Oryza sativa Japonica Group: one gene and its partners. The protein of the gene in region 3 interacts with the protein of the main gene of each other region in a pairwise test. Links are inferred from orthologs where the notes say so. Each region holds a gene or a part of one and is shown on either strand. Other genes may lie near its edges. The genes, in order: protein TIFY 9, protein TIFY 10a and NINJA1.

Evidence for each region.
Region 1: the proteins of NINJA1 (region 3) and protein TIFY 9 interact in binary tests that used the Arabidopsis thaliana proteins (3 or more experiments, as listed by UniProt). The link is inferred for Oryza sativa Japonica Group from reciprocal best matches to the Arabidopsis thaliana genes NINJA and JAZ10.
Region 2: the proteins of NINJA1 (region 3) and protein TIFY 10a interact in binary tests that used the Arabidopsis thaliana proteins (3 or more experiments, as listed by UniProt). The link is inferred for Oryza sativa Japonica Group from reciprocal best matches to the Arabidopsis thaliana genes NINJA and TIFY10B.

What each region holds. Positions count from the first base shown.
Region 1 is NC_089038.1:19,857,915-19,864,012, reverse strand, and holds the start of protein TIFY 9, read right to left. Parts: upstream 3,780-6,098; 5' UTR 3,734-3,779; coding exon 3,613-3,733; intron 3,495-3,612; coding exon 3,304-3,494; intron 1,792-3,303; coding exon 1,704-1,791; intron 1,580-1,703; coding exon 1,525-1,579; intron 1-1,524. UniProt on the Arabidopsis thaliana protein: Repressor of jasmonate (JA) responses. Interacts with and suppresses RHD6 and RSL1 transcription factor activities to negatively regulate jasmonate-stimulated root hair development.
Region 2 is NC_089037.1:16,852,351-16,858,495, forward strand, and holds protein TIFY 10a, read right to left. Parts: upstream 3,969-6,145; 5' UTR 3,743-3,968; coding exon 3,622-3,742; intron 3,340-3,621; coding exon 3,237-3,339; intron 2,588-3,236; coding exon 2,328-2,587; intron 2,224-2,327; coding exon 2,166-2,223; intron 2,066-2,165; coding exon 1,921-2,065; 3' UTR 1,558-1,920; downstream 1-1,557. UniProt on the Arabidopsis thaliana protein: Repressor of jasmonate responses. Jasmonoyl-isoleucine (JA-Ile) specifically promotes COI1-TIFY10B/JAZ2 interaction. Activated by MYC2, MYC3 and MYC4 transcription factors.
Region 3 is NC_089039.1:27,976,645-27,982,709, reverse strand, and holds the start of NINJA1 (protein NINJA homolog 1), read right to left. Parts: upstream 3,519-6,065; 5' UTR 3,392-3,518; exon of another isoform or gene 3,244-3,391; intron 2,001-3,243; 5' UTR 1,886-2,000; coding exon 892-1,885; intron 439-891; coding exon 77-438; 3' UTR 1-76. UniProt on the Arabidopsis thaliana protein: Acts as a transcriptional repressor. Negative regulator of jasmonate responses. Connects the JAZ proteins and the non-JAZ protein TIFY8 with the TOPLESS corepressors.

The DNA of each region.
Region 1 (6,098 bases), on a different chromosome or scaffold from region 3:
TCATCGTATTTACACTAATTTTTTTAATAAAAAGAATGGTTAAATGTTATGTTTAAAAGTTAATGGTTATATATATATATATATATATATATATATATATATATATATATATATATATATATATATATATATATATATATATATATATATATATATATATATATATATATATATATATATATATATATATATATATATATATATATATATATATATATATATATATATATATATATATTTGAAAGGAAGAGAAATCAGTGCCACATTTTTCAAGTCTGGGACAAACGAATTAGACCATGTTTAGATGGGACTAAAACTTTTAAGTTCCTATTACATCGGATATTTGGACACTAATTATAAATATTAAATGTAGACTATTAATAAAACCCATCTATAATCTTGGACTAATTCACGAGACGAATCTATTGAGCCTAATTAATCCATGATTAGTCTATGTGATGCTACCGTAAATATTTTCTAATTATGGATTAATTAGGCTTAAAAAACTTGTCTCGCAAATTAGCTTTCATTTATGTAATTAGTTTTATAAGTAGTCTATATTTAATACTTTAAATTAGTGTCTAGATATAGAGACTAAAGTTAAGTCCTGTATCCAAACACCACCTTAGCCAACACACAACCAGAACCAAACCGATCTTTTAAAGCACAATCAAATCAAAGCCTTAATGATATGTGCGTGTGGTGTGGTCAAAGACATATCTTTGCTTTCAGTTAGTTTATTGCTTCTTTAGCTGCGATAAGTCTTAATTTGATTCGGTAGCTAGTTGGTCAATGAAGTAGTACAGCCCCCATATATCGATTTCATTGCGATATATATATCATCACCAAATCGATCGAGATATTGCATATGCAAACTTGCTATCCTCCACACACATGTCGATATGATCCATAGCCCATAGACTTTCCATGCACTAATTCGTCACGACTAAAACGTGGTTGTAAGAGGTCGATGGGCACTGCTCATCCGGGCCCACACGGCTTCTGGGGTCTCCGGTCAGCTCACCATGTGGTAGCTTTAGCTACCATGAGCTTCCACAGTATACAACTATAGGTAGATAGCTAGTCTCACACTGAAGATTCCAATTAGAGAGAGAAATAATGAAAATGTTAATACTCTTTTATTTAAGTGTAATTGAGTTCTTTTTGAAAAGGTTTGATCAAATCATTATTTCTATGTACTTATACATACTCCTTTTCTTTTCAAATTAATTACTTCACATTCATTTTGTCCTAAGTCAAATATTTCTATTTTGTTCGTTGATATCTAAAAATTTGAATAATGCAAAAACATGTGATTATATATTGTGAAAGTTTTCTCATAGTGAATACAAAACATAAATCTTATGATGTTAAATTATATAAACTTCTGGAAATTGGTGGTAAAAAATACAAATGCTTAACTTATGATAAAACTAGAATAATAATTAATTTGAAACGCAGGGAGTAGGAAAAAATGTGTATTTAGGTGACAAACAAAATATATGAAAATTGCATTGTCTATACCTCTCTTTTCTCTTGGAGAGGAATCGTTGCAGAGATTTAGTTCTTGTGAGTGGCTCTGCAAACAAGAAGAGTTGAAGAACAATACTATAAGCCACAGGAAAAAAAACAGATTAAAAAAGAACATATTTTTGTTGTTCTGCTGATTACTTTTCGCAACAATTCTACTAACATTAACAAACCTTTGGCAAAATTGCCTACAATTGCATTGCCACGAGCGAGTCCTTTTGCTTTAGTTGCCTCGGTTGCCATCCTCATTATAGCCTCTGCCTAGGGATGGAATATGGAAAGGGAAAGCATTGAGAAGATTGTATCTCTATGAAATTGTACTATCTACCACTATCAAGCTAATTTAAGGGAGATAGTATATCATTGTGCGCATCCCTTCCAGCCATCATGCATGAAAAACAAGAACTCTTTTAATTTAGACTTGGTGCAGTTCGATCCTACACCATGATTTTGATTGTAAATTAATTCTATGTTAACGCTGTATGATTTTTAATGGACAGACTTTTCTTCTCCTAGGAAAGGTCATATCATCGTAGTTTTGTCTTTGGGTAATTAATCTATATTATCCCCCTTTATTTTGTTTTGCTATTAAGTCACATCACCTTAGTTTCATTTTTTTTGAATGTTTTAAATTGTTATAAACCATATCATCTTAATTGTTTATAATTTTTTATTGATCAATCAAAGATGAAAATTATATAAAGTAAATAATCATCCAGCTATCTTACATACTACTTCCATTTTTTAATATTTTTTAATATATGACGCCATTGAATTTTTACAAATATTTGACCATTCGTTTTATTCAAAATTTTTATGTAAATATAAAAAATATTTAAATCATGTTTAAAGAATATTTGATGATATATCAAATCAGAATAAAATAAATGATAATTACATAAATTTTTTTAATAAGATGAATGATCAATGAAAAGTCAACAGCATATCACATATAATAAAAAACAAAAGGGGTATTATTTATAATATTTTTATACATAATTCTCGCAGCAGTAACGCGCCGAGTTTCGTTAGTTTTGTAATCACACGCGTTCTGTGAAGGTGAAGGTACAAGTGTTCAACAGGTGCCCCGGTTCGCTGGCCGTTCTATCTCCGACGACAGTATTAATATAATATTACTGTGTTAACAACTAACTAATCGCGGATAATCTCCTAATAATTTGTGATTAATTAACTTAGACGATAAATATATATTAAGTAAATTGCATCGCCGGTACATGAACTTGTCAGGTGAGTGCAATCTAGTGCACGAACTTGTAAAATGCTCGTTTTGGTGCATAAACTTGTCTGGTGCGTGCGGAGGAAGGAAAAAGGACACTACCTGGTTAATCTTATTAATTTAGGGGCTCATTAGGATACCATGTAAACATATATACGTGAAGATTTGCTATTAGAAATACACCTCTTTAGTAAAAAATAGAATGGATATAGTGATTGTAGAAAAAAGATTAAAAAAAGCAATGATATAAGGGTTAGAAATATATGAAATTCATCACTTCCATGATGAAGAATAAAGTAGAGACGAAATTTATAAATATTGCATATCTTATATATACTCACTACACATATGCACGTCACATCCTAATCAACATCAGCTTTATAAAACGAACATTGCCAAGCTATTTTAGTCCTCGTTCGCACGAACTAGACAAGTTCATGCATCGAAATAAGCATTTTACAAGTTTATTCACTAAGTTGCATCCAGCTAACAAGTTTATATACTACCAATATAATTTACTCATGTATATTACACACCTTATCGTGGGAGACGTCGAAGACGGCGACTGAACCGTTGTAGAAGAGCGTCATCGGAGCGGCGGCGGCGGCGGCGCCGGGCATCTCCTCCGGCACCGGCGCCGTCGACGGCGGTGGCGGAGGTCCGGCGGCGGCGATGACGCGGCGCAGCAGGTGGGGCCCTATCCTCGCTATCGCGCTCGTCTCCATCCCTGCTCTCGCAACGCAAGCAATCGACTCAGATCGATCGAGAGGGACACGGAGCTAGCCGGCGGCGGTGAGATGAGATCATCGATCGACGGCGACGTCGACAGACGTCACGTCACGTACCTCGGATGGAGGAGGAAGAGGAGGCGGAGGAGCCGCCGCTCTTGGCGTGGCGGTCGTCGGCGTCGGCGGCGGCGGCGCGGAGGCCGAGGAAGTCGAGCTCGACGGGCGCCCTCGTCGACATGGCCGGAGAACGAGAGCTAGCTAGCTAGCTTAGCTAGAACACGTATAGATTAGAAGCAGCTGCAAAATGTGGTGTTTGTTGGGTTGGGAGGTGCGCGCGGGGTATAAAAAAAAGAGGCCCCGCGCCCATTCGTTTTTTCTAACCAATGAAAACGATGGATTAACCCGCACGTTTTTAGAAAGCTTACAAACGCTAATGTATTTTTATGATTAACTTGAAAAAAATATCAATACGTTGCAACAGGTAAATACATTTTTCTTAGTGGTATAACAACTCTATTATGAACTGAGCAATAGCTTGAAACATTATAATTGCTATACACTATAATTGAAAACATGTTAATCAAAATTTTTTCTTCGTTTTGAGCCGAAAGCTCATTACTTTTTTTTCCTTTTTAGCCCTAGCACAGTCTGATGTCTCCTATCTCTTCCTGCTCGGCTTGCCTCTCTTTCGTCCAGTCCACAAATACTTAGTTATCACAGCTGGCAATGTCATTCAGTATACCGTCTTGAACCTTCGGGAGAGAATCCTTGTGTGCCCTCCCATAAAAATCCAGCTGATTCTTTTTTGATCTCCCTGGCCAAGGGATTTTGATTCACTCGATCTCCTCTTTCTGTTTCCCAAAAACAGAGCAAATCTGTAAAACTCTGGATAAAAATGGAATGGGGAAGCTCGTCGGTCGGTCATTATTGGTGACAGTTAAACGAAGATTGAATCCAACGAATTAATTAAAACCGAATTGAAAGGGAAAATCATGGGGGAAACTATGAGGGAAGGATGGGGAATCAATTTTTGCAATTAATTAAAGGAGAAAACGTAAGGGGAGGTAGATCGATGTGATGGCGCAGTTAGGGTTCAGCCCAGGCGGCGGCTGGAGATTAGATCCGGTGAATTAAAGCCAAATTGTAAGGGAAAATCATAAGGAAATTAAAATAATAAGAAATGAGTAGGGATCTATTTTTACAATCAATAAGAGGACAAAAGGTACAAGAAGATAGATCGAGGCGGCGGCAGAAAAACTGCTGCGGGAAAAACTAGAAAAAAATAAAGAGGAGAAAAATACGGACAAAAAAGGATCAGAAAATAAAAACAGCAAGAAAAGAAAAAAAAAGATAGAAAAAACAGCCAAGAAAAGAGAAAAAAAGACGGACAAAAAAGTATTACCGGAAGCTTTATAGATTTTTTAATTAGGTATAGATAGATAAAAAATATAATATATTTATTCGTTTGTTTGCCCACTCAGTTTAATTATCATAAATCATTCGGTTATTTAGCCATTTAACAACAAATATTTTAGAGAATATATGTATAAGTTGTACAACAAGTTACAATAATAAAGAAAAGAATCGAAAAGGGATACAAGGCCTATGTCTTGTGGTATTGATTTGCGACCGACTATCAACCATTATGTGTGCTAGCTAGCCGCGGGTAGCTGAGGACCCCCGTGCAGCCTAGCTCTTATGCTCTATTAGTCCTCTTACGGAAATATAAATCCCTATGGAGGGATAGGAATACATGTCCTTCTAGAGAAACTTATGTTCTTTTTAGAGAAACTAATGGAGGGACTTATATTTCTGTGAAAGGCCCTCCCACCCAAACAGCTTAAACTGTCGTGCTCACCAGTCACCACTTTGGACAAAAGCATTATTAGTGATTGAAGACTCCTATATATTATTGTGTTCTTTAATTACAAATCGACCATGCTATCAAAACAATAATGGTGTCGATGCTTGTTGATTTAATTTCTACGGCCACACCTCCAAACTATTGAAAAACTCGTCGTAACCAGGAAATAAGGTTGCCCAATAGTGTTGAGGATCAATCACTAGAACTGAAGCGACTCAGGGAAGGCTATTAGGATTTGGTCAATTGATTCGTCCTGATGGCCATGTTGGTTGATTTTATCAATTCATTATTGGTTAGTTAGGAAAAGAATTAAATTCCATCGGTTTTATTTTCCTAACAAGAAATAAAGTAGAGATAAAATCTGTTATGTGTGATCGTACAAAATAGATTTAAATTTATTTGGAAATAAACCCCCGGACCCCACTAATGTCCTTATGTCTAGGAAGAGGAGAAGAGGCAAAGGCGACTTCACCGAATCCTCTCTACCCTAAAGCCCTAATTCAATCGCCCGATCAATTTTATCACTGGAAAGGATTCGTGATGTATGTCGCAAGAAGAAAAAGAAAAGAGAAGAAGAAGAAAAATAAAAGGATTAGATCATCGGCTTAAATGGCTTCACATCAAGGTCAATGAATCAATTTATTTCCGCATAAGAAATTAAGGTGATTATATTTAGATTAAGAAATTAAGATTAGATTGAGTAAATAAACTCTAACTTGTCGCTGGACATGCTGCGATC
Region 2 (6,145 bases), on a different chromosome or scaffold from region 3:
TCTTTTGGGAAGGTTCTAATGGTCTGGACCATGTTGTCCTATCAAATTGATATGATGTAGAACACTACTATCAGATGTAGTTGTCTTTTGGATGTGAGGATGAATCATATGATGTAAACCTCTAACTGTGTTGGTTGAATTAGTCAGATGTAGTTGTCTTTTGGATGTGAGGATGAATCATATGATGTGAACCTCAACTATTGTCATTTAGTTTGATTATGTTACCGTGTTCATGCCAGAATGACGCTAGTTGACTATGTTCTCTTGCTTGTTGTCTCAAATGGTGTTTTATTGATGCCAAAATGCTGTCAATATTACAATTTCATGGGCAGGGGCATTCTTGTCCTAATTTTCATGAAAACCAGCCATATAACGGTGTTAGTCTAAGCTGTGAGTCCAGTGGCAGTTATGTTGGGTTCAAACTGTTTTTAATGGCAAATTTGCAATTACAGTTTTTTTAGTGGTAGATCCACAATACCTGTTCAATCCAGTGGCAAATATGCAATTGACCCATGAATTATCATAGGCTGGCATGGCAATTGGCAGAGTGGTCATGCACGTTACGCGAAATGAATAAAGTTGCTGGAAGTGGGCACGAGCAAATGGGCTCGCATTATATTGGATGACAAACTGCTTTCCTGCCGGCCACCATGCATCTGTAGACCGATTTTAGTTTCAAAATTTTTCTTCAAACTTTCAACTTTTTCATCACATCAAGACTTTCCTACACATACAAACTTTTAACTTTTCCGTCAGATCGTTCCAATTTCAACCAAACTTTTTAATTTTGGCGTTAACTAAACACACCCGTAGTCTCAGGCAACCGTAGTCTCAGGCAAGAGCCATGTTAAAATACTACTATTCTTCATTTCCGAACGTGAGCTTTACTCTAATGTACGTGGATCGTCCACTGTTTGTCCGGCAGAACCCGGTTTGGTCCCGGTTTTAAAATGCGCAGAACATGCAGTTTTTCTTCAATGTCACCAAAATGATTTTATTTTTTTTTCTCTTTTCCCTTGGAGAAAAAAAAATGGAGAGTCATTTCATCCCAAAAAAATAATTTTTAAAAAATTCCGACCATGGGCTGCTGCTGAATGTAGCCGGAGAGCGACGTGCGCATTTTTGCGTGTTCCCCGGACGCCCTGCCGTTGCCGCGTTATACATCACTTTCTTCTCCTTTTCTTTTATCTTTATCTTTATCTTTTTTTTTTCTCTATTCATTTGTGCAAGTGGCAGATGCTGCCTCTGAGTCAAAACACGTTTTCTTCCTGTGTTGGACGGAGTATGCACAAGTGTGTGTGTGTGCGTGCCTCGTCTCCATCAAGTTTTCAGGTCGTGCAAGAGCCAAGAGCCACAATTCTCTCTCTCTCTCTCTCTCTCTCTCTCTCTGAGCTGTCTGTCTTCTAACCTCTGAGGCCAAGCAAAGGCTTGCAAATCATGGTACACTAGTACTACTCAGCATGTCCAAATAACATTCTAGTTTCTGAATAGAGCTTCAAAATTCATACAAGAATGCATGTTGGAAACAGCAAAAGGAGATGCATCCTGTTAATGGGGGGGGGGGGGGGAAACAGGCGTAAGTGAATAACAATCAATCTTGTGATGTGTATATATTAGCAGTACATTTGCTTTGCTTCTACATGGCAATGCCAAAGCAAAACGATATTGAATTGGTACAAATGAGGTTTCTTGGGTTGTACTGATTACAGAATCTTCTGCTTTCTATCATAGCAATTTGATTCAGATTACTGGTCATAATCATCAGCTACTTTCTTTACATTCAATCCTAGTATATATATCAGAAGAACATCGCCTTGTCATCGGATCATCTCCTAACACAAAACACCCAATTCAAGAGTTGTGATAACCTCTATGACTGAATCATCTGATGAGAGGGGCATCTCAGAATTGAGCATTGATTCATTGGCTCGATTCCTGCCGCAAGCTCAGGTCGGGAGCGGCAACCTGAGGTCCTAACCCAAGCCATGGCTGACTCTCCTGCAGCTCCTTCTTGACCGGAGAAGCATCTGAAGGGGAACCCTGGTAGGGTGCTTTAGCCTGAAGGCTGAAATAAAGGAGCAGCAAAAGTTAGATCCAAAATCTAGAATTGTGAATTGTAGAATTTGACTATACTTTGTGCTGCCATGATAGCAAGCATAACCTACCGATCCTTTCTTTTCTCGAGGAACCGGTGAAGCGACGCCTTCCTAGCCTGAGGCAGATCTGCAGGATTTGAAGAACAGTTAGTACAATAAAATGGATTCACATGCTACAAGTATATTCCATCATTCAGAGCAAGCAATAACAGCCGAGGTTAGAGTAGTTACCAGCAGCATTTGGACGAACAGGTTTCGGGGCATTGGCCTGAGCAACAGGAAGTGCACTTGCTGGGGCTGGTACAGCAGACACCTTAGTGTTGTCGGCAACGGTTGCAGTAGCGGAAGATGGAAGAAGGACACAGTTCTGCGCTGTGGAGGAACTCTTGCTGGCCATCTGCATCAGGTCCTTGGCCTTCTCAGCTGGGAAGTCATCAAACACCAGGACCTTCCCACCGTAGAAGATGGTTAATTGGCGCTTCTCTTGCTCCCTGACAACGGAAATACAAGAAAGCTTAGACAAACACAACCATTTAACCAATTTTAAAGCTTACACAACAGAAACTATTTACTAACTGATATCGGTCAGCAAGCACCCGCCATCTACGCATATGTTCAGAAGAATAACTTGTAGTAAGTACCAACTAATATTTGGGTTTTTTGTTCATGAATCACTCGAGTCAGAACATTTTCACTTTCGGATCGTGCGAGCCCACTAAGTCTGAAACCCGTGGTTATTAGTTGCGAGACATACATCGTTGACTCGCACAAAAAACGACTCGCACAAAAAACAGAAGAAGGAACTGCAGACTTGCATAGCACCAGTTCTATATTGGATTAAATATCGAACCTTTCCATCACACCGAAATCCATCCCTAGAACTCTAAACTAAATTATATCCATTTTACACACGAATTAGATTTCAGACCATGACCCGAGAGCTGACCAGCTCAGCTCCTGGCAGCACTAAGATCTGGTCAGGACAAGGCAAGATGTTCTCCTCCTCCTCCACACTACCTACCAACCACTACTTTGTTTGGTTGGATTGTTGCTATTGGTTTCTCCTATCATGTGACTACAGCTAAAGGAACCGTATGAACTGATAGCTGAAGCAATTCGAACAAAGATTGTGTTGAGTACCTCGCATCCGGGGTCTCCTTCACGGCAGCAGCTTCAGAGCCGAACCCGGAATTCTGGGGGAACAGCTCCATGGTCTCCTTCCCCTTGTTCGCATCGGCTTCACCTGAAAAATGATATGACATAGTTTTTCAGCCCAGATTCACAACATCAGATTTAAAAAAAATGTTGCGAATTTTACAGCTAGCTAGATGCGCAGAATTGGAATGGTTGAGACTGGTTTAAGCCGAATAAAATTCTACATGGGGGAATTCTCGCTTCCAAAGCTCGAAGAACTAGACCAGATCTCACGGAAACCTTCCTAGGGGAGGTTTTTTTCACCCAAAACCCGTAAAGATAAAGATCCAGACTTTGCAGAAGGAAAAAAAGAAAAAGAAAGGGAGGTGACCTCTGATGCCGAGGCCGAGCTCGCCGGCGGCTGCGCCGTTCTGCCTGACGTAGCGGCTGAGCAGGCTGCAGGCCATGGCGAAGCTGCTGCTCCCCCTCTCCCCGGATTTCGCGGAAGCCATCTTCTTCTTCTTCTTCTGCCCACAAGCTGAATCCTTTTCTCCGAACGGAGTCACGGACCCCCGAAATCCTCCCGCTTCGATTCGATTCGATCGAGTCTTCTCCTCTGGTCGCGGTTGCGGGTTGCTCGTCCTTGTCTGTCTCTGAGTTGTCTTCCTCCTCCGTCCGGCGGTTCAGGTTCTATATAAGGGACGCACGAGACTAACAATAACAATAATGGTGGGGATTATCTTTAAGACGAAAAAGTTTCGATTTTTGTAATCGCAAGTTGCGAGGGAAAAAAAAAAGTTAGTTTGGGTGTTGGTGCCTTTGTTTGAGCACGTGATTGTTGTGGAGATTGGCAAGGTGCGCAGATTCCTATTCTCTCGTTATCTTTTTCCTGGTTTGTGTTTACTGTGTGCCGGTGTGGTATGCCGTGACGTTAGGTTTGATTGGATGCAACGTGGCCGACAAAGGAGTGGGGCCCTTCGTCCTAAAATGCATAACCTTCCGTACCAGAAAAAACCAATCCTACCTACCAATCTGGATATATATATGTGTTCAGGTTCGTAGCTATGAATTCGTTCTTTTGGATGGAGTAGTACTTCCTTCCTCATCTCAAGATACTGTCTCCATTCTAAAATATAAGAATATAAGACTCTATTATCATCTCATAGTTTAGATCATCCAAATAACTATAATGTATGCACCAATAGAATTAAAAGAGAATATATTCTATACCATTAAGTTTGTTCGAGTTCAACGATTTGCCATCGACATTATCTCTTTTTATAATATACCAGTAACTTTATCAATTCTTCTACAATATGTCATTGGGTTGGGCCTTCTTTTCAAATATATCCAAAATACCCTTACGAACATACAAGATTAACAATTGATTTATCTCATCTAAAGTTTTAAAAAAATATGAAAACTTTGTAGTGGCCTCCTTACACAATATGGAAGTTTGTATACAAGTTTGAAATTTTTTTATGGTATATTTAGATTTTAGAAAAAATATTTTTATGTGGTATATGATAGAGAATTTGCTTACGCAAGAGATAATATCATAAAAATATCTTATGCATTGTATGAAAGATGATTTATATTAAAACAACAATAAAAAGTATTTTATATAGCATATAATAGATAAGTTATATTTTTTAAAAAATAGAAATATAAAAACTCGAAACTTCTATACAAATTTCCATGTTATGCAAGGAGGTCACATAAAATTTTTTATATTTTTTAAACTCCTAATGAGATAAATCAATTGTTAATCTTATATGTCCATAAGAGGAATTTGGGTACTTTTGAAAAGAAGACATATCCCAATGGCGTATTGATGAACGATTGATAAAGTCGTTGGTATATAATATAAATCGACAATGTCGATGGTAAATCGTTGAACTCGAACAAACTCAATTGTATAGAATAGATTCTCTCTAGGATTAAAGATTTTGAGGATGGAGGATTTAAAAAAAAATCATAGTGCGAAAGATGTGCTAGTTAATGGCATGCATTCATGCATGCCTTATATTATGAAACATCTAAAAAATAGTTGTGCCTTATATTATGAAATGAATGGAATACTAGCACTTACTCTCTCCGACCCAATATAAGTGCAACCTAGTACATATATGGTATATCCTAATACTACGAATCTGAACAATTGTCTGCACAGATTCGTAATCCTAATATATGTCATATTTGTACTAGGTTGCACTCATATTAGGACGAAAGGGCTGTCTAAATTCGTATTATTAGAATATGTCATATACTAGATTGCACTTATATTAGGATGGAGGGAGTACAATTTAGGGAGGGGGAGGGGGGTGTTTGGTTACCAGCAACACTTTGCCATAGTTTGTTACGCCCAATGTTAGCCGGGCTGGACCATATTGGCAATTGTTTGGTTGTAGGCACAATTGTGTCAAGATTCTTTTCCAACAAATTGGACTCCACACGTCTTTGACTCAAAAAAGTGTGGCAAGATTCCCTTAGGCCTGCTAAGGTGTGGCCAAGAATTTGATCGTCTCAACTTAGGCAAGTGTGGTAATATGTGTTGACAAATGGCGGCAAAGTATAGCTAGAAACCAAAGACACCCTTAGACACATCATATCCTTATATTACGAATTTAAATAGATCCAAAGGGCTATATTATTGCATAATACTATGAATCTGGACAAAACTTTATCAAAATCTATATTATTATATAACTATATTTTAACACGGAAGAAATGGTATATAAGTAGTACTTGTTTGCTACTCTAGAGAGAGCATATGATTTGTATACATCACCGTCTTATAGAGACATACACGACGCAAAGCTATTTACATTAGTATCCTCAACGTCCCATGTGGACTCAGGCCAACTCAGATGTTTTTATGTTTAAGTCCCTAAGAATATTTCTTATTATCAAAT
Region 3 (6,065 bases):
AATGGAGGATATAAACACAAAGGGCGCAACAGGTATTAGTCCAGCACTCATTGAAACCGTCATACAGATCGGTGAATTAGTTTTGGGCTGAGGCTGCTTGGTTCCCGACAGGAAATGCCGGCAAAGTTGCACTATTTTCTTGGCCCGGAGCATCTGCACTTGCGTGCCGCATAAATTCCTCCGGCGTCATGTGGGTGCCATGGCAGGCACAGACTATCTTCACCTCGTTTCTGCCAAACTTATATGTTACACCTGATATGGTTCTGCCATTTGGCCCAGTACCAGTGGTAGAAACCCAGGGAAGGTCAGGATACGATCCAGATCCTCCGAATTTGACATTTGGTGCAATGCCTGGCCTTATAGCAGAACCCATGAGAGGTAATGCCCTATCAGACTTCTTGTCATCCTCCACAAGAGCAGAAGAGGAAGCACCAGCCTCTGAAGTTGGGGGAAAAAATGAATCAGTATGCAAATTGTAAATACTGAAAATTTCAAATTCAAACATATGATTGTTTAGGCATAAAAACAGCAGCGCATAAGAAGTAATCTCCACTTATTTTACGTTACCAGATCATAAAATACCATAGACAAAGGCAGTTCTTGTATGCATACAAGCAGCAATGCAGCTTCCAACTACTCATAAATATTCTGAAACTAAATGAGATCAGTGGCATGTCTCAAAGTATACTTCTATCATACCAAACCCAACGACATTTGCGACATAACCATAGAGTTTTTTTGCTAAAAATGTAGTGATCAAACCCAGACCAAGTATCTTAATTCTTGTTGACTTCAAATATATTTGTTATTTAGAGATGAACCACAACAGGTAACAGTACATTTTTTGTTCTTTGTTCTGAGAGTGTGGGCGTTGTTCACAGGTAAACTAACCTTGAGTTTTCTTGCCATCGTCAGCTTGACTGATTCCTGCTCGTTCAACTTTGTCTTTTGCAGTAAAAGAGGACATAGCCTGAGGTGGAGCACCAAAAGCCCATGAAGAGCTTGTTTCAAGTGTTGGTAGCTGGACAGCTGGATAACCAAAAGCTACCTGAGAGGTACTGCCCATTGTAACAGCTAGTCCATTGTTTGTAGGTGGCCTCAACTGCACTGTACATACTGGAGTGAAATTTGATGCATTGGTAATACTGGGAGGAGCTGAAACCTGAGACGGGACTTGATATGGCACAGCAACAACATTTGATGCTTGCAATGACAAAGGATTTCCTTGTGGCAATTTTCCAGAGCTGGATTCACTTCCTGAGAAACTTGGCTGCCTCTTTCCTTGAAAACCAACTGCAGCATCATCACTGGATCGTTTTCTGTCAGATCCTCTATTGACAACAGATCCCTTAGCACTGTCTTCACGCTGTGCAACCAACCAAGAGTTTGAGCCTTCTGCTTCTGATTCTGCAACATCCTCGTTTTCACCTGTTGAACCATCATCCGTGCTAATTGAAATAGGAGCGTTTTTTACACCACCGTCAGAGCTCTTACTAAATGCATCAGGTTGCTCAGCAGCTGTATTAGGTTTCTTCTGAAAACTTATCTCCTCAGAAAGTAATTTCCGTTTACTAGAGACTGGCTTCTGTTCATTGGATCCATCTGCCACAGGAACAGAAGAACTCCCTGGCTGTCCCCAAAAGTTCCCAAACGGTGGTGCAGCAGGGCTGTGTCTCTGCTTGCTACTGTGTTCTTGGTTCTCTGCATTTGTTTGATAGTAATGCACAAAAGGAGCCTCAGGAGTTTGTGAAACACCTTTGCTACTGCTCTCTTCCACTTGAGGCTCTGCTTTAGGTTCTAGAGGAGCATCTCTAGCCTTAGACTTTCCTGATGTCCCACCCAAAGAGAGACCCAAGCTAAGCTCAAGGCCATTCTCATCGTCCATGTCTAGATTTCACTAGTCGTATTAATAAGTATGTATGGTTACAGACTGTTTCTTCTACACATTGAGAAGAAAATAGATTGTACTATATTGATTCTTTCCACTCAACAAGTCATATCTGCAAGAAAAAAAAAGCCTTTGGTAAGAGACTAAGCATGGCAAACATGTTTCATGTGTATCCGCTGAATCTCCAAAACTTTTGGAAACAAACTGTTATTACCGCCTGACCACCCACCAAAGAAATCTCCAAAAAGTTGGATGGGTTAATTTTTTTTAAAGAAATCTCCAAAAAGTTGGATGGGTTAATTTTTTTTAGATAATGTGGATGGGTTAATTAGAGAGAGAGAGAGGCTTGGAATACACTACATCGATGCTACAGCATGTTAAGTCGGAACCTCTCCGGCCGATGTAATTTAAGCAACAAGATCTACAATAAAGTAAACACTTTGCCCCAAACCAGTCGATTGAATCTAACCCTAATTGGTGATTAAACTTGCTAAACTACTATAATTTAATCAACAGACCTTTATTTCTAACTATAGAATAATAACTTGGACATTAAATTTGCTAAACCAGACATCCTTAGGTTGCACATCTAGCCAAACGCCAGCTAAAATGCTGAACCAACAGAATGGAAACATCTTCTCACGCCAGCAGCAAAATGCTCCAAACCATGGCACTAAGGCTCGTTTTATGGCTATTCTACTGTGTTGCGCAGTGCTTATTTCTTTAAGTTGCTGTGAAAACAAAAAAAAACTTATAGTCGTAATACTACAGTGGCGGATCTAGCATGGGAAACCTTTTTGGGAGCCATCAAACTGTTACTAGTATTAAGGTGTGATTAAACTTGCTAAACTACTGTAATTTAATCAACAGACCTTTATTTCTAACTATAGAATAATAACTTGGACATTAAACTTGCTAAACCAGACGTCCTTAGGTTGCACATCTAGCTAAACGCCAGCTAAAATGCTGAACCAACAGAATGGAAACATCTTCTCACGCCAGCAGCAAAATGCTCCAAACCATGGCACTAAGGCTTGTTTTATGGCTATTCTACTGTGTTGCGCAGTGCTTATTTCTTTAAGTTGCTGTGAAAACAAAAAAAACTTATAGTCGTAATACTACAGTGGCGGATCTAGCATGGGAAACCTTTTTGGGAGCCATCAAACTGTTACTAGTATTAAGGTTTAAGGCAGATTTCTACAACAGAAGCTAGGGTTAACGCTCCCATCAAACTGTTACTAGTATTAAGGTTTAAGGCAGATTTCTACAACAGAAGCTAGGGTTAACGCACAAATTCGAGAAAAATAAGTTCGTAGGTAGACACAGGGAGAGATGGGAAAGAGGATGCGCGTAACGGATGCTGCGGAAGCAGCAGGACCAGGACGAGCTCGCGCGTGATGGATGGGGATCGGCTGCAGGCGACGGCAGCAGGACCAGGACGAGCTCGCGCGTGATGGATGGGGATCGGCCGCAGGCGACGGCGGCGGAAGAGGATGTGCTCACCAGGATGGATGCGGCGGAAGCAGCAGGACGAACGACGAAGCCGCCCTACTCGCCTCGCTCGCAGTCGCGGGTTGGAATGGGGATCGGCGGAGGCGGGTGGGTAGGCAAGGGCAAACTCAAGAAGCATAACTCACGCACGACCACGAGACAGAGCCATCAAAACAGCGAGGGTAATTTTGTAATTTCGCCTACCACTCGATCCACCGGGATTGCTAGCACACACCCCATCCCCACCCTACCCAAACGGTGCAAATATGACGATTGTGTTCACTGTGTCACTGGACAGTGGGCCCGCGCGGATGGAGTGGGCCCGTGGATGGACTGTCGGGTGGGGCTTATCTGTCAGTTGGGGTTTTAGGATAACGTGGTGTTTTGGCTCAAGTGGAGGAATGGGTGAAGGGTGATGTGGACTTGGGAAGTTGGGAGCACGTGAATTGTGTGCACAAAACTAATGTTTGTTTATATTTACTAGCAAAACTAATTGGGAAGTTGGGAGTACGTTCAATGGTTTCAATTTATAACCTGATAAAGAAAGAATGTTAAATTAGATTCATGCCAAGTGGCACAAATGTCTTAGAAAATTTATAACCTGACAAAGAAAAAAAAGTTAAATTAGATTAATGCCAAGTGTCACCGTATGTCCTTTAGAAATTTTGTGGAATAAAAATTACTTATAAGAATATAAGTTGATAAAAAGATATTTTGTGTGACTATGGGTAGTTTGTGGTCTAGATTCTTCTTAAAGAAATTTACGTGAGTTTGGATGAGTAAAAATTATGTGAGCTTACATTTTTCGTTCTATAAGGGTGTTTGGATGAGATTCAGTAACCAAATTACATATGCTAAAAACGGAAATCAAAATTAACAACTTGAAAGTAGGTGGAGCTGGGCAGAGGCAGATCTAACCCTGTTTCGGTTGAACCCCCAAACTTTTTGAGGGATAAAGCAGAATACCTGATGAGGTGTGGGTAGGGAGGGATGCTCACCGGCGAGCGACGATGCGGTGGAAGCTAGAAGGAGGACGCCGGGCGCCACCTCTGCTCGCAGGATGGGGATCGGCGCAAGCGGCGGGTGAGGAGACGAAATTCGAGGCCGAGGCCGAGGCCGGATGGGATGGATTAGGATGCTCACCGGTGAGCGAATGCGGCGGGAGCAGGAGGAGGACGCCGGCGCCACCTCTGCTAGCAGGATGGAGATCGGCGCCAGCGGCAGGCGAGGAGACGGGAGTCGAGGGCGGCGGGCGAGGAGACGGGACGGATTGGGGAGGCGGAGGGCGTGCACGCGGTGTCGCCTGCCTATGTATGGGTCATATGCACAGGCCCATGAGGCTGGAGTTTTTTCATCTCCCAAAAAAGTTCATCTAAGGTCCCTTATCTTGTCGTTGAGTTCTAAACGACCCTGAACCCCTAATCTTGCAAAACGGATCACTTTTAATCCCAACAAGCTAGTATTGCTCTTCAGTTTTGTTGACGTGGTGGCTGAGTCAGTGTAGGGCCCACGTGGACCCCACAAGCCAACCAGCAATCTTCTTCCACCTCACTCCCCTCTACTCCCATCTCAACCCAAACCTCCAGGGCATTCGCCAATGGGTGGGGAGAAGGGTGTCGGTCGGTGGGGAAAAGCTCGACGGCGGAGGCCGCCAGCTGACATGGTTCCCAATGACCGGGAGCGCTCACGTCATGGACTTGCGCACGTGCGGGGTGTGGCGCGGGTCCCAACTACAACTGCAATGTCGTCTTCATCGGCACGCGTGAGGGCTGGGGCTTCCGCCTCATCACGCTGGCCAAGCTCCTATCCCGGGCTTCCACCTCGTCACGATGGCCAAGCTCCTATCCCCCAAGCTCATACTCGCCCCCATCGAGCGGCTCAAAAGCCGATGTGTTCAGGTGTCCCCGAGCTTCGCCTCTCCTCCGCAGAGGCGAACACGCGGCTCCGCCGCATCGTCTTCGAGGTCAACTCCATCTACTCCACGTTGCGGTCGCAACGTCCTCGATGCATGCGCCCTTTTCCCCAACGCTTGCCACCGCCAAGCTTCTTGTTCGCTGCCAGCCTTCTCCCCACCTATCGCCGGGTGTCGTCGTCGGGCTTCTACCTACCACCGCCACCCAACAACCACCACCCTTCTCCCTGCTGGTCACCGGCCACCACACACCTCTCCCGCGATTCAGCGTCTGGCGTCCTCTTCGCTTGCATGCACGGGCACTCATGCAGTCAGTGGTGCTCGCGAGTATGCTCAGGCATCGCAACGTACTCCATCTCCCAACTCTTGGAGATCCTCTTGCCAATCCCGACGGTGTGGCTGACGTGCGATCATGATGCGGACGTGGCGCAGATGCGCGGCGAGCTGACATGCAACGATGTAGTGGTGTAACCCGAGGGGACGACGTGTCGGGAGCCCTTCCTACTTCGCTTCTTCGCGCTCTTCGCCGTGTAGGTCCATGACACAGCCGTCAGTCGCCACTCTTCTCCCCACCTGTTGTTGGCTGCCCTGGAGGTTTGGGTTGAGACGGGAAGAAAAGGGAGATAGGTGGGAGAAGATTATCGGCTGGCATGTAGGACCCACATGGGTCCCACGCTGACTCAGCCACCAAGTCACCAAAACCGGGGAGCAATACTGCCTTGGGACCTAATGTGACCCGGTTTTGCAAGATTATGGATATGTTATATCTGGTAT